Linked DNA regions of Lepisosteus oculatus. The protein of the gene in region 1 purifies or fractionates together with the protein of each later gene. This does not show direct contact. Links are inferred from orthologs where the notes say so. Each region holds a gene or a part of one and is shown in the gene's direction. Other genes may lie near its edges.

Region 1 (4,746 bases):
TTTGAAATCTCCCAGTTAGATTTCAACAATTAAAATGCGCTATTTGGCAAATATATGAGTCAGAAATTGAATTTAGCCATTGACAGCTAGTATTGATGGGGACGTTCAGGCTGAGGGCATTACTCTTATTCAGGGAACGATTTTTTACTTGCCAATATATACCCAAAGGTAAAAAAAAGCTCTGTGTTGAAATACCCTACTCTCATATGTGTACATCTCGATTCTTCCCCTGACTGCACGGTAGACACAAAGCACTGAGACATGAGAAATGTCAGCCTCAATGAAAGCTTTTAGATGTTTCTATAATTGTTCTGGCAATAGGTTGTTTTGTCAAGTCATACTTGACATATTGAACACTACTGTGATCTGTGATAAAAGTCAGAGAGCATTTGATTTAATTATTTAGCTGATTGCGTTTCTTAACTAGAGACGGAACAATACCTTTCCAGAGGCACGGCTCAGTGATAAATGCAAGTGGACATCACCATGATAGTGATAAACGCGTTACACTAAATTTCTCCATTTAATTTCAACGTCGTGCCTGCTGCTCTTGAAATATAATTACAGTTAGACAAAAGGAATGATTATATCCTGTTTTTATGAGAAATGGAAGTTATATTCGGGGCGAAGTTTATGATAGCTGGCTTTAAAACAAAGCAACACCTGGTGATCCTTTTTTTTTGTTGGCAGCTGAACTAAAATTCGTTTAGTGGAGTTTGACGCCCTCTACTGGACGGATTGGACGTCCAGATTCGGTTTATCGTCTAAAATCAGATGTCCAGATGTTATAATAATAATTACTCACACTTATATAGCGCTTTTCTGGACACTCCACTCAAAGCGCTTTACAGGTAATGGGGATCCCCTCCACCCCCACCAATGTGCAGCCCCACCTGGATGAATTATAGTTATACATTTTTACTTCAAGGTATAAAGGTATGTGTGCGGGTATTTGACGTTGTAGACCACAACCAAAATTGATCTTGAAATCTGTGCAAATGCGACTGATTTATTATGGTAGGATATGCCTCGGAATTATCCATGTTCAAATAATTCTCGTTCTGTCCTTTATCATTAATTAGTCTGAATCTTGTATCCAAAAAATCATCCAGGCGGGGCTGCACACTGGTGGTGGTGGAGGGGATCCCCATTACCTGTAAAGCGCTTTGAGTGGAGTGTCCAAAAAAGCGCTATATAAGTGTAAGCAATTATTATTATTATTATTATTATTATTATTATTATTATTATTATTATTATTTTATTGTTATTATTAAAAAGCGACATTCATCACTATACATTTGTAGAGCTAGGTATATAGTTTACTCTAGGGTACAACAGGAGTATTTTGGGATTTGACCCGACAACCTTTCTACAGATCTAGCGAGTCATTATCTGCTGTTCATCAGAAATTAGTCCAAATTGTGATAGATAAACGATCGCTGTAATTTTTATGTCAGTCTGTGTGACGATAAACAGTGGAGTAAAAAATGGACAACATTACCAACCATGAGTGGTAACATCGGAGTTATTTTAGTTCGACGAAACAACAACAAATTACTAGAAGCAGATTTAGCATAATTCATACAGAAAAATACATTATTTTATTCGTTTATTTTTGGGAAAAGCGGAAAGCGAACTGGAAAATAATCACACAATGACATTCAACTTCAAACATTCTTGACGTTGTCATTCAACATGCCTTTCGTTAAAAAGGTTATCATCTTATATTATTTAAAAATATGTGCATTGATTATTTAAAGTAATTTTGAAACAGGACCGTCCAGCAGCGGTTCACATGGCACACTCTCTGCATGAGGAACTGCGGTGCGCGATCGTGTTTCCACTCGGCTCGGAGTGTAGAGGAGCACAGATAGTTTCCACCCGAGAAACTTTCTGGGTGGGACCTGCGTCGTTACGGAATTGACAGCTGTGTTATCTTTAAGGTAAGAAACATATACTCTATTAAAATGCCAGCGGTGCTATATCTCAGCACGTTGGCTGAGTTAGTAAAGGTGATGCAGTGTGTTAGCCTTAGAGAGTTTGTTTTCCTTTTTGTAGACCGAGCGAGTTTCTTGGATTTGCATTGATGAAGCAGTTGTACTCGAGCCCTGTTTTCAATTCACACGGAGTTATTCAGAATCACTCTCATTGATTCGGAATTGGCGAGCGGGCAGGGACGAATATTTGACTGATTCTAAAAACAGGTGATGCAGAAAACGTCCCTGACTGGTGTGGGATCCGCTTTGACCACCAGTAATAAACGGGATTTTGTGCTGATCTCCGCGATCTGCCGTTCATGTTTGTGAACTAATACGAACGTCCGTAGAGCAAATTAGAAAACATGATTAAACATTATTCATTAGGGCTTTTGCAATAGCAAAGCACTGCGAATATGGGGTTAGAGAGGCATGATAAGCAAAGATACAAGACACAAGTCTTGTCTATAAGATATGATTTTTAATTAAACGAAACAAAAATACCTATTCTTTTTTGTATTGAAAGCTAACAAAGTACGGTATTTTCAGTGGCCTTTAGGCGTCCTGCGAGACGTTTTGATTCCTCTAGGCAGGGGGTGTAAATATGGTCAGGTTTTAGCTAATGCTTTGTGCAGGTGTCGATGTTTCTGCTCATACTCGTTAGTCTCAATCGACAACGTGCAGCACAGAAACCGGCAGCGACGGGGTCTCTCTGCCCTGCCAGGGAATGGCGCTCTCTCAGCAGGCCGCCGCGCTGGCGCCCAGCCTGGAGCCGCCCGCCCTGGTGGCCACGGTGAGTGGGAACGTCCAGAAGTACGCCCTGAAGAAAAAGAAGGTCCTCAGTGCGGAGGAGACGGACCTGTTCGAGCTGGCGCAGGCGGCCGGGATCACGGTGGACCAGGAGGTGTTCAAGTAAGGCCCAGCAGAGCACACACACTGGTTCTGTACTGCTTGCTTCCCCTGCTGGCCTTTCCAACATGATGAGCTTCAGCTCAGTCTATTTGTCATGTGCACAAGTGCACTGAAATGCTTATTTGCATGTGCACTCCGATACAGAGCGCATCAGGGTGAGCCAGCGGTAGGGGTAGAGTTCAGTAATCTGATAGCTTGTGGGACGAAACTGTCTCTGACTCTGGAATTCATCCAGCCATCTTCCAACCGCTTTTTCCAGTTCAGGGTCATGGGGGAGCCAGCGTCTGTCCCAGCAGGACACACACAGACACACACAGACACACACAGACACACACAGACACACACAGACACACCAGGGCCAGTTTCCCCAGAAGGCAGTGAATGTTTTTGGACTATGGGAGGAAACTGGAGCACCTGGAGGAATCCCAAACACAGGGAGAACATACAGAGCACACATAAAGCACCCTGGGTCTGGATTGCTGTCCGATCCAGCGATGCTAATCACTGCACCACTGAGCTGCCCTACTGAAACTCACTCACATGCAAAGCTGAATTAGAACTGCAGTGGAGGGGAGGGTATAATGGAGTTCTACATAAAATGGATTTGCAAAGATAAAGATTTTTGATCCTTTCTTAATGTGGGTTCTGAGAGCCATATAAAGGCCTCCACGCTGTTGGAAAGCATGTGGTTTATTCCAGAGGGGTGTTGTACACATTTGCAAACAGTTCCAGGGTTAAAGTCTATCTGAAATACAGCTCCCATCGGATGGCTGATCTGCGTGTTTCATAACCTTATAGTGTGAACAGAAGTGAACAGCATGCCCAAGAATGTGTATATATTCATTCAGTTTCTTTTGTGCTGATTCATAATGCATGGTGACTTTTGTGGAAGAACAATTGCTGATCCCCAAATTTTGGGGATACAGAAAGGAACAATTTTAACAATTTTTTAAAACAGAAGAAACCTGGAGTATGACCTAAAGCAATCTGCGACAGTGTTAATGTCTCTGTAAACTTTCATGCGGTCTGTCCTCAGGATCATTGTGGACCTGCTGAAGATGAATGTTGCTCCTCTGGCCGTCTTCCAGATGCTGAAGGCCATGTGTGCTGGACAGAGGATCGCTGACACCTCGGCTGGGGAGAGTTTGTCTGGGTCCCAGCACATTGCGGCCCCTGAGCCCAGAGGTTAGACAGTGGGGGCCAAACAGGTCATGGTCAGGCTTAGGGGCTCCATGCCTTCCTCTGTGAAAGTTTACATTAGTACCTATTATTGGCAGTGTTGCGCTTTTATTATGGTGTTCATCTGGTTGCACACAAACCTTTCCTGTAGCCCTGCCATGCTGTAGGTGTGTTTTATTATACTATGTAAAGAACGTGCCATAATGTACTGTAGCAAATGTTCGTAAGTGTGTGTAGCGTTCAGTTAGGGTCTAGCGTAATAGGGCAAAGTGACCTGATAAAAACGTAGAAAAACATTCACAATACCCAAGTGAATTAGTGCTGAACACCATAGTAAGTAAGCAATTATCATTCAGCTTTGCTATGGTGATCACTTGCTTTTCATTGCTACAAGCCTGGCTTCTAATCCTATGGAAAAATATCAGAAGACAAATCTTTAAATATATAACGTTATCCCACAGCATCTTGATGCCACCAAGACTTATATTTCTTCAGCCTGGGCTTAAGCTGGAAGGGCTTGAATTGCACAACATTATTTTGGGTGATATTTAAGATTCCGGCTCTAGGTTCTTAGTGGGATTGGGGGGTCTCCGTAGTAATGCAGGCCACCTCCTGCCTTTGACATGCTAGGTGGGTATGTGACTTGAACGGCAGTGCAGTCTGGTGATTCTGCCATTGC
Region 2 (4,746 bases), on another chromosome or scaffold:
GTATGAGACCTAAAGCAGAGTGAATGGGACACTTAGTAAAGTATTATGCAAAAATGCACAGTTTATTAAATTAAATATATTTGTGGTGATCCATTCATGTTTTGAGCGTTTTCAGTATTGCATTCCTGTAATTGTAATAGTATAAAGTGACTCAAATATATTTCAGCTGCACAAAAAAGCACTTCAAAACAAGTACCCCTGTTTTTAATAAATATGCTGTAGTTGTTACCATTATGTTGAACAATTTATTGTTAAGTGTTCAGAAGAGAATACTCATCAATCAGCTGTGCAATGATTCATTCATACACGTACAGTACCAAGTGCATGTCCTGGACACAAACAAAATATCCTACAACTTGAAGTTAGTGCATTCTTGTCTGGAAAAGATCTGCCCCGAAACCAAAATAATCACAAAGAAAGCAAAATCCAGGGTTTTGTTAATACCAAAGCTGACACCATCTGAGGTTTTTGAAGAGGTGCACGAAAATGCAATAAATCCAAGAAAGATGTAAAATTATACTAATCGACAGCACCAGGTTGTATCAGTAAAGTCTGCATAGTGTTCTTGCTCATGTAAGACAACAGAAGGGTTTGAATATGGCTTGGGGGGTGGGGTATGTATAGGATATGTAATCAAATTCAGCGATTGTTAACCACTTAGAAATAACTCAAGAGCCGCATCCAAACCATATCGGTTACCAACTCATCTTCCACACTTTGTTGCTAAACGCAAACAAGGGCATGGACATACGTCTTTGGCATTCTAAACTGAGATGTGTATCTAACACCATGTGACAATGAGGCAGCCGAATCAAACGTAAGAGTGTAAAAATAAATACTTAATCAGGCTGAAGCTCGTCCATGGATCAAACTTATAACATATCCTTAATGGAGGACCACTTGCTGAACAGTGTAATCATCAATACATCAATACCTTTTTCCTGATTATTATTAGTTATTAATGGACCTTGTCTCCTGTTAAAATTAACGCAGCAAAGGAAACAATTGTCAGCAGAGATAACGTTATTTTTTTTAAAGACTACTTTATATTCCCTATTTATCCTTTACATGCTGGAGTAACTCTTAAAACGTCTTCAAGAGTTTTCATTTATTCTGCGCCCTGTGGAAAGCAACCGAAGCTAGCAAGAGAACAAAAGTATTATATCGTTGTTATTGGGATTAATTCGTTTTTTGTAATAAATTTTGACTTGATTGCTTACTTGCCTGACAGCTAGCATACGATTTTCTTTTAAAAAAATGGAAATCATTGAATTTTGTTACATTGCTGTTTTTTCATCTTTTATTACAAATATTCCACAAACACTAGTCATTCGTAATAAAATATTAACAACTGAATGCATAAATAACACTTTCAATGTACTTTGTATGTTTATATTTTGGATTCTACGTTCTGTTCCTTATTAATACATACAACTAATATTGAAATCAAATAATCAAAATAATATTGATTTATATTTATCACACAAGTACAATGAGTAATATACAAGAACAGGTCGTTAACACGTCAATTCTAATTCAGAATATTGATAATATGCAGATTATATATTAAATTTGATGATATTACTATTTTAATTGCAAACAGCAAAAACACTAGTGGAAATAAAGAAGATAAATGCAGTTTATGGGATCTATTGTATTTCAGACCTTTTTGCCAGATTAGGAATATAACCAGTTTTCATCAGGTGCGACACGTTTGTGAACAAAATGTTCTTAAAGACCATATAAACGCTTTTCATCTACAATCTTCACCTTTCGAAACTCCCCCAAACGATATTTGACGTGTCGAAGAAAAGAACGATCGTGCAAGGCAAGTGCAGTCGTGAAAATTGAATTATCTTCGTTTTCTTAAGTGATAAACCCCAACGCACGCCTAAAACAGAAAAGGTAGGAACTGATGTCATGCTAGGAACCACTCTTGCGTTTCTCGTTCTTCGGAGGGCAGTATTTTTGTTCGATTCTCCCTTGCCTTTCGGAGGATTATGGGACACCTCCATAGATAACACAGTGAAGAGCGCTGTCGGCGGGTTTAGCGAAAATGGCGCCGTTGCTAAGAGCGGAAAGCCACGGCAAAAATAACGGCTGCAGGTAGATTTGGACAGCGACCCGGAGCCGTGTCAGACAGATCCCTGATATGGCAGGCTTGGATCAAAAATCGCCCAACGTCTTGCTACAAAGTCTCTGTTGCAGGATAACTGGGAAGAGCGAAGGTAACAGCGGCAAGGGGAATATTTTAAGTAACGTGCTTGTTCCATCATAGTTCAACATCATACTGCATGAGCACAGAGAATGAGTCAGTAGATGTTTTTACAGTAAGCATATTGGCAGAAAACAAATCAATAAGGCGACGCCTAAATGATCGTCTTTCCACGTTGGAAGCAGGAGTTTTTTTTGACGGAGTAGTGAATAAAGCGCCTTTCCTCGCTAACAGTCCCCTCTTTCTCTGACTGTTGAAATCTGCAGAACAGGCCAGTGTTCATCTCTTGAGCAGATGTCTGGTATCGTTAGACACATTTTATTTGATAAAAACAACTATAATAATTACGCGGTTTTAATTCACGATGGCCGGCAGCAGGCGAGTTTTTTTATCTTGCTAGTTGGGGGAAGACTCATTTACCATTTCTATTTGTAGTGAATGTACTGGCTGGAGAATTGGCCCTGATGAAATTATGACATGATTGGTAGGTCGATAAAGATGGAAGAAAGTAGGGATATATTTCTTTGGCAAAGAAGCAAAAAAAGTCCTTTGTCCTTGAGCTGCTATTGTAATGTGATGAAGAAGTGCTTTTATTTGAAAGACTCCAGTTCACAAGCGTATAGTTTTGTAATCTCCTGTGCCAGTGTGCTATTTATCTTATATACTGCCTTTAATAGCGCTTTATAACCGATATCGGATATTATGAGCTGCATCTTAATTGGCACAATATGATCCCAGAATTTTTGTCAGATGCAAAACTAAAAGTATGAGCACGGACCTTAATAGGTTGGTAAATCCTACTGTTTGTGAGCTTTTAGGGAGTTTGTGATCTGGAAATTGGCCGAGGTCAAGGGGGGAAGTTCATGGCTTCAAGCGTTCTCATTCCCTACCCAGCCTCTCAGTGGGGAATCTTAGTGGTTTATCTGGACTCCCTGCAACTGAAGGTGAACAGATGGGGGTGAAGACAGTTCACGTTTAAATAACACAGGAATGATTTTTTTGTATTTATCTCTAGTCTTAAAAAGCAACTGATTCTTGTATACCAAAATCCAGAATGTGCCTGAAGCTGTAACTGTGAAGAGTCGTTTCTAACTGAAATTGCAGGACCCTTTATTCATGTACTTTTTAATACATTGTAACTTCAGGTGTTTTAGGGAAGAATGAATAGACTGCATTTAGAACAGTCTCACTGGCTGCCAAAGAAGGTATTATTCCTCATGAAGGCCTTTGCTGCTTTTTGATTCTTTGTATTCTTGGCAGACTGTTGTTAAGGAAGTTCTTCAGCTGTAACACCAAGGTCTTTATTCATGTGGTGAAAGAGGAATATGGTGCATTGTGATTTACATTGGCCTAAATCTGAGACATTTGGTTGCTTGTTGTTCTCATTCTTCTCTGGTCCCCTTTGTCTGTAGGGCTCAGTGACATTCTCCATTTTTAGTGTCTTTATACTTACATGATGGCATCACAGCAGAGACCCACTTGTTCATGATTCAGATTTGCTGGGAGTCACAGTCTTGTTGTCACAAAGCACACACAATTTGGTTCCTTCTTATGGCAGGATGTTGAGGTTGAAAGCTGAGTTTAAGAGCTTAAGAATTTTCTTTTCTTTAAGGCCTGAAAATCTCTGTGACATTATCCACCTGTGTGATATCTCAGTTTGCTGTGGTGGCCTGTAATCTCGGGATCTGTTGGATTGTAGTTATTGTCATTAAAATTATCTTCTGCTTTTTTCAGCCGATGTCGCCCACCAGTTCCAGTATGCTGTGCGAGTCATTGGAAGTAATTATGCTCCTACAATTGAACGGGATGAGTTTCTTGTAGGTGAAAAGATCAAGAAGGAACGTGAGTTTGTTTAAAATAAAACCTTTTGATGTTGCATGTTTTTTCAGAAGTGTTAATTAATATTGCAGTATTAATATTAAGCCCTTAATAGTATGCTGTATGTAATTTTTTAGTTTTTTTAGTTCGTGCATCTAGTTATAAGTTCTGAAAACTTGATTTCTGTATGTGTCAGAAACAGTATCCCTTAAGATTTCCATTTATACGGTTCCATAAAACCTCAGTTTATATTGTGATCATCTATATCTTAATTAAACAACACTTCTCTGGGCTGAAAGGTTTTTATTGTTTTCTTAATGGCAAATGTTTATCTCTGGGAAGAAAAAACAATTACATTTGGGAGATTACGCCATATTCATGTCACATAGTGTCATTTTAATATTTAATGTGATTGTGGTGTTTATCATGATTTAACAGGCACTTTATTTCTGCAGTTGTGAAGCAAAGAAGAGAAGCAGATGCAGCACTTTTTTCTGAGCTTCACAGGAAACTTCAGTCACAGGTTTGTTTTTTGAGAAACGTATTGAAAACAAAACGATAATACATGAAACGCAGAACAGATAAGGCTACATTACCTTTCAGTTTGAATACTCTCTTCTATTCCAGTATTGGTGGTATTGCTTTTGTAGCAAGGCATTTGAGGCATTAGGTTAATCATGCAAGTGCTTGAAAAATGTTAAATATTTACAGAT
Region 3 (4,746 bases), on another chromosome or scaffold:
TGGATATTTAAAGAAAGGGGCAGGAATGCCCACTGCTGCCCAAGAGCATCAAAGTGTCTGCTGCATGCCTTTCAGATGAGTTCTCAATCTCTTCGTGGAACTAACAATTTCTGTTATTGATTTTCAGGTTTTATACAGATGAGAAGGCAAACACCCTTTGGAAGATGCATCACGTATTTTCATCCTTTAAGGCTTAACGGTGCCAACCACTAAGCCATATAAGGAAAGACACCATGCCTGTCGAAAATGATAGCAATCACGTCCCCTTACAGTATGTCCTATATCATTTTAGGCTTCAAGAATCCAACGGATTCTTAAAACACTTCAAGATGCTTCTTTAACTAATTCTGAAACTCTTGAGTTGTGGTAAATTAAAAATATCGTCCAGTCGAATATAAAAACATCAGCAAGGTTACGGACACAGGTCCCACTCAAGAAGAGTCGACACGCGTGACTCATTCCACACTGGAATTCAATCTCCGTCTTTCTGCAGCGCGTCTCCCTGCTAATGAACTGCACTCCCACAACATTCATCAGATCTCCTGGGCCAGCAGGACTGGAGCACCTTTCAGGCTCCGCACACCTGTGGGAGCATTCCGGTCTGTATACTGAATAACTTCTATTACAACGGCATCATCACAAAGACTCACGGAGACCGGAATACAAAAATAATGAGAAGGCTGGTCTCAGTTTTTGCATGGAAAATTCCTATTGCTTTCTTGGTAGACCGATTTTATTTCCTTCCGATTGTTTTGTTTATTATGAATTAAAAGAATAAAATGTTGATTCTAAAGATGAAAAAAGTATAATAAAAAAACTACACCGCCATATTTTGCATGTTTTGTCTCCAGAGCACATTACATATAGTGACACGGAAATAGGTAGCGAAAGCATGAGTTATGCAAAGGCTTTCGGTGGGAAGCAGTCGGAGCTACAGCAGCACTGGAGCAGCTGCAGAGACTGCAGAGATTGCCGAGGCGTAGAAACCCTGGAGCACAGCCCACCCTACACACACATACAGCAAGCAGTCATGGGAACTGAGCAGCACCAAGTCTCATTAAGTCGCTTAATTCACAGTTCTTACTCAATTCGAAAAAAAAACGTACTTCAAATAATTCGTGGTCCTTGTTTAACCGTATTCGTTGCGGAGTGAAATCAAAAGGCGAGCTGCAGACGTTTTCACCATCGCCACTGACTTGCTGTACCGCACTGGGCTCTTCTGCTATCCGCTGGACTGGCAGGACTGGTATCGCCTGAATGTCGGTGCTGCTGGTGCCTGCTGCTGTTAAAAACCGGATTAATTCGAGCGGCAACATGTCAGTTACAATATCGCAAGCACGCTGCTGTTACGTCATTTGTTGCGCTTCCTCGGCTACACTTCATGACGCAGGCGCGGCCCAGCTCAGGGTGTCTCCGTGGTCCTGCTGCTCCTGGGGTTAGAGGCGATGGAGACGGACACTTCCTATGTAACCGAAAAAACATTTGAGCAATTTTATTGCGTTTGCTCCAAAGGACTAATTTTGACTGAAATCTCAATTTATTTGCGACATCTGGAAGGCAATTGCACTTTTACAGCAACCTTGGAAGAGTGTAAAACGCTTCAGCAGTTTCAGTTATTGCCAAACAAAAACAAACATTAAATGATTACGTTGGGAACACATGCAGAAATACACATTTCATGTGTATCCAAAACCATTTTTACATGAAAAGAGGATCAGCCATTGACTGTGAAAGTCAAATGTTCTTACGGTTTGCTCCTTACAGTCTTGAGGCTGTGGACTGGAGGGTGTCGGGGAGGAACCTCTTTGGTGAGATACTGTTTCCCTGCAGTGGCGGAAGCTTTTACAGGGCGGAGCGAAGTGCAGTGTTTGTGTTTCGCGCTGCTAAGGGGCGGTAAGTCCATTTGGCTGACACATTTATTACTTGTATTTGTATTATAGTATGCTGGTCATTAACCGAAGATAAAGACGAATTATTAATTACTGGTTTATTTGTGTATCCGATGTGCTGGTGTTCTCAGCATCTTTGCTGTTTGTGTGTAACTCACTCTAGATGCTAGCGGTCTAGTTTGTGGTCGAATACAGTATAAACATCGTTGGACCGAGACAACAAATAAGTACACATTTCTTTTAACGATCTAGAGTGTCCTAAAGGTAGGTTACTGACAAAATCTGTTACTAGTGTACATGCATCATCTGTGTATTTGCCCACTGTTGGAGAAATAATTCGCAAGCAGGATGTTTGTACAGTACTGCTGTATCCGTACCCGTTCAGCTCTTGTAACTTTGTATGATTCTCCTCAAAGTAGTGTCTTCTTCCCGTAATTTATGCTCCTGGTACATTTCAAAGTGACAACCACGTCTAGTCTGCATCAAAACTACTGTCAAAAAATCCCTTTATACACCTTTTCCATCTATTAAAAAGCCACCAGACCTTTTATACATTTTTATTTCCTTATTATTGTAAAGCATGGTTATTCGGAAGTCTCCCTCTCCCCTTCTAGAGAGTAGCCATGAGCGAGTTCCGGATTCACCACGACGTGAACGAGCTGCTCAGCTTGCTGCATGTCCGCGGAGGAGATGGAGCCGAGGTGTACATCGACCTGCTGCAGAAGAACAGAACTCCCTACGTCACCACAACAGTGTCCGCGCACAGCGCCAAGGTGGGGATCGGGGGTAATATCGGCCACTGTGGAGCAGACTGCTGTCACATGTTTCGGTTTCTTCACTCTGTCCTACCGACGTTTAAAGTTCTGGATTTAAGACTGGCACCGTTCTCTTGACATGCAAAGGCTTTTTATGTTTTCTAACCCACGTTCCTTCCAATGAAAGGGAGACCAGGTGCAAATCAAGGTGTTTTTCTTACTCGTTTTCTCATTGTCAAGCTTTGTGCTTGTAGTTTATCAGCTGAATCTAACATTTCATCCAGTCATTTCTTGAAGGAGAACAAAGTTTGATCCTCAACCACTTAGCTAGGAAGCCTGCTCCAGAAACCACCATTCTTCATTTAAAGGATGTTTTAATCCTAAACATATTCCCTTTTGGTCCTTGTCTCTTAATTAAAGCTGAACAATATTTGCTGTAGCAAGCATTGTACTGTATGTGCTTTTTCATTGCTTCCCCACAGCCAATAAAGAGAATGCTACATAAACACATCTGTCTCTTCCATATCCATATGTTCTTGCAGGTCACAGTCACCCATAGTATTATGATACTGTATGTGTAGTGTGTGTTCCTCTGTGGATCAGATTGCACTGTTGACATAAACTTCATGTGCAATCACGTGATTCCTTGTCCTTGATTTCATCCGTGTGTCTTTGTAGTTCAGTAGCTGAAGTTCTGTGTGGGGCGCCTCTCCTATGTTTGCGTTTTCTGGAAATCTAATTAGTTTCTGAAATATAGCAGAATCTAAATTAGCTGATATAGGAAAGAGAAACTGGCCTAAAGATAAATAGAAACTTTACTTTACTTTTGTGTTAACTTTTGTCTTTACTGCTTGTTCAGCAAGTTCCAGTAAGTTATCTTCCCTTTCTAAATCCATGTTGGCTATCTCTTCAAAGTACCATTGTTTTGCATCAGTCTTGTTTTTTCTAAAAGAAATATTTAACCAGCCAATTATCGGTTGACTGAGAAAATGTTTCATTGCAGGTAAAAATAGCGGAATTTTCTAAGACACCAGAAGACTTCCTGAAGAAATACGATGAGCTCAAATCCAGGAATGTGCGAAACGTGGATCCTCTGGTCTACCTGCTGTCCAAGCTGACTGAAGATAAGGAGGTGATGGAAGTACCTGCAGATAATAAAAACACTTTGATGTGAGGGACGTGGCTGTAGCAGTCTTACAGTAAATGCGGGTATTTCATTGTTTTTTAGACCCTGCAGTGTCTACAGCAGAATGCCAAGGAAAGATCTGAGCAGTCAGCCAGTGCCTCCTCCAGCAGCACAAACTTCAGCATCCCTGCCACCAGCACAAAGATGTCCATGCAAGAGCTGGAGGAGCTAAGGAAGAAACTTGGGAATGTGGCAGCCAGCTCCAGTGTACAGCAGGTAAGCCCATATCCTCTTTAGGCTCCTCAGTCTCTTCTGTCTTCCTGTGATTAAGAAGTCAGAGACATTACACTGCTGTGTGTATTGAAGAGCCCTGGCAACAGAGAGCCCCAGTCTGTGATTGAAAGAAAGTGTTCACATGGGCTTATTAAACCAAAAGTTGGCTGAAATGTTGCCTCGAATTAGTAGCAGAAGCCATTTAAGCTTCCCAGGAGTATGGTTAGAGACCTTTTGTACAGTCGGGAATAACCTTTGTAGAATAATGTTGTGTCCCATGCTCTAACTTTGCACGGCACAAGCTTTAGCGTTAGGATTTCCTTTTGCATTTTTCTATGTTGATTGCTTTAAGTTTACTGGAGCAAAGTAAATACGTTTAGAAAGGCGGGACTCCACCCTTGTGTGTCCTGACTTCCTGTAGCCCTCCGAGGTGACGAGGAAGATGCTGAGGGACAGACACAATAAGAAGAGTCCCCTGCAGCCAATTCCAGTGTTTCCCAACTGGGTGTACGACAGGCCTGCTCTTCTTGGGGATTTTATCACCGGCTCCAGTGGGACTGACTCAGCAGTGCCTATTGGTAAGTCTTTCTAAGCTGCGATGTGCAATTCTCTGCACATCAGAAAAATGAGACCGAGTTTTAATTTTATCCACGCCGCATTGCTCAACGTTTACTATTACAGCATTACAGCAAGTGGAGTGGAT

What was found.
Region 2: the proteins of mzt2b (region 1) and tubgcp3 purify together in Homo sapiens (affinity purification with mass spectrometry; 3 studies listed by BioGRID and IntAct, counting the BioPlex papers as one, with this or other methods). This does not show direct contact. The link is inferred for Lepisosteus oculatus from reciprocal best matches to the Homo sapiens genes MZT2B and TUBGCP3.
Region 3: the proteins of mzt2b (region 1) and tubgcp2 purify together in Homo sapiens (affinity purification with mass spectrometry; 5 studies listed by BioGRID and IntAct, counting the BioPlex papers as one, with this or other methods). This does not show direct contact. The link is inferred for Lepisosteus oculatus from reciprocal best matches to the Homo sapiens genes MZT2B and TUBGCP2.

The regions. Positions count from the first base shown.
Region 1 is NC_090717.1:14,237,074-14,241,819, reverse strand, and holds the start of mzt2b (mitotic-spindle organizing protein 2), read left to right. Parts: upstream 1-1,838; 5' UTR 1,839-1,943; intron 1,944-2,660; exon of another isoform or gene 2,661-2,700; 5' UTR 2,701-2,703; coding exon 2,704-2,888; intron 2,889-3,924; coding exon 3,925-4,073; intron 4,074-4,746. UniProt on the Homo sapiens protein: Required for the recruitment and the assembly of the gamma-tubulin ring complex (gTuRC) at the centrosome.
Region 2 is NC_090710.1:26,104,031-26,108,776, forward strand, and holds the start of tubgcp3 (gamma-tubulin complex component 3), read left to right. Parts: upstream 1-2,006; 5' UTR 2,007-2,152; coding exon 2,153-2,228; intron 2,229-3,949; coding exon 3,950-4,057; intron 4,058-4,488; coding exon 4,489-4,556; intron 4,557-4,746. UniProt on the Homo sapiens protein: Component of the gamma-tubulin ring complex (gTuRC) which mediates microtubule nucleation.
Region 3 is NC_090699.1:17,553,701-17,558,446, forward strand, and holds the start of tubgcp2 (gamma-tubulin complex component 2), read left to right. Parts: upstream 1-1,743; 5' UTR 1,744-1,893; intron 1,894-2,503; 5' UTR 2,504-2,512; coding exon 2,513-2,662; intron 2,663-3,647; coding exon 3,648-3,776; intron 3,777-3,872; coding exon 3,873-4,046; intron 4,047-4,464; coding exon 4,465-4,621; intron 4,622-4,746. Other genes in the region: znf511 (zinc finger protein 511), read right to left, coding at 1,107-1,316. UniProt on the Homo sapiens protein: Component of the gamma-tubulin ring complex (gTuRC) which mediates microtubule nucleation.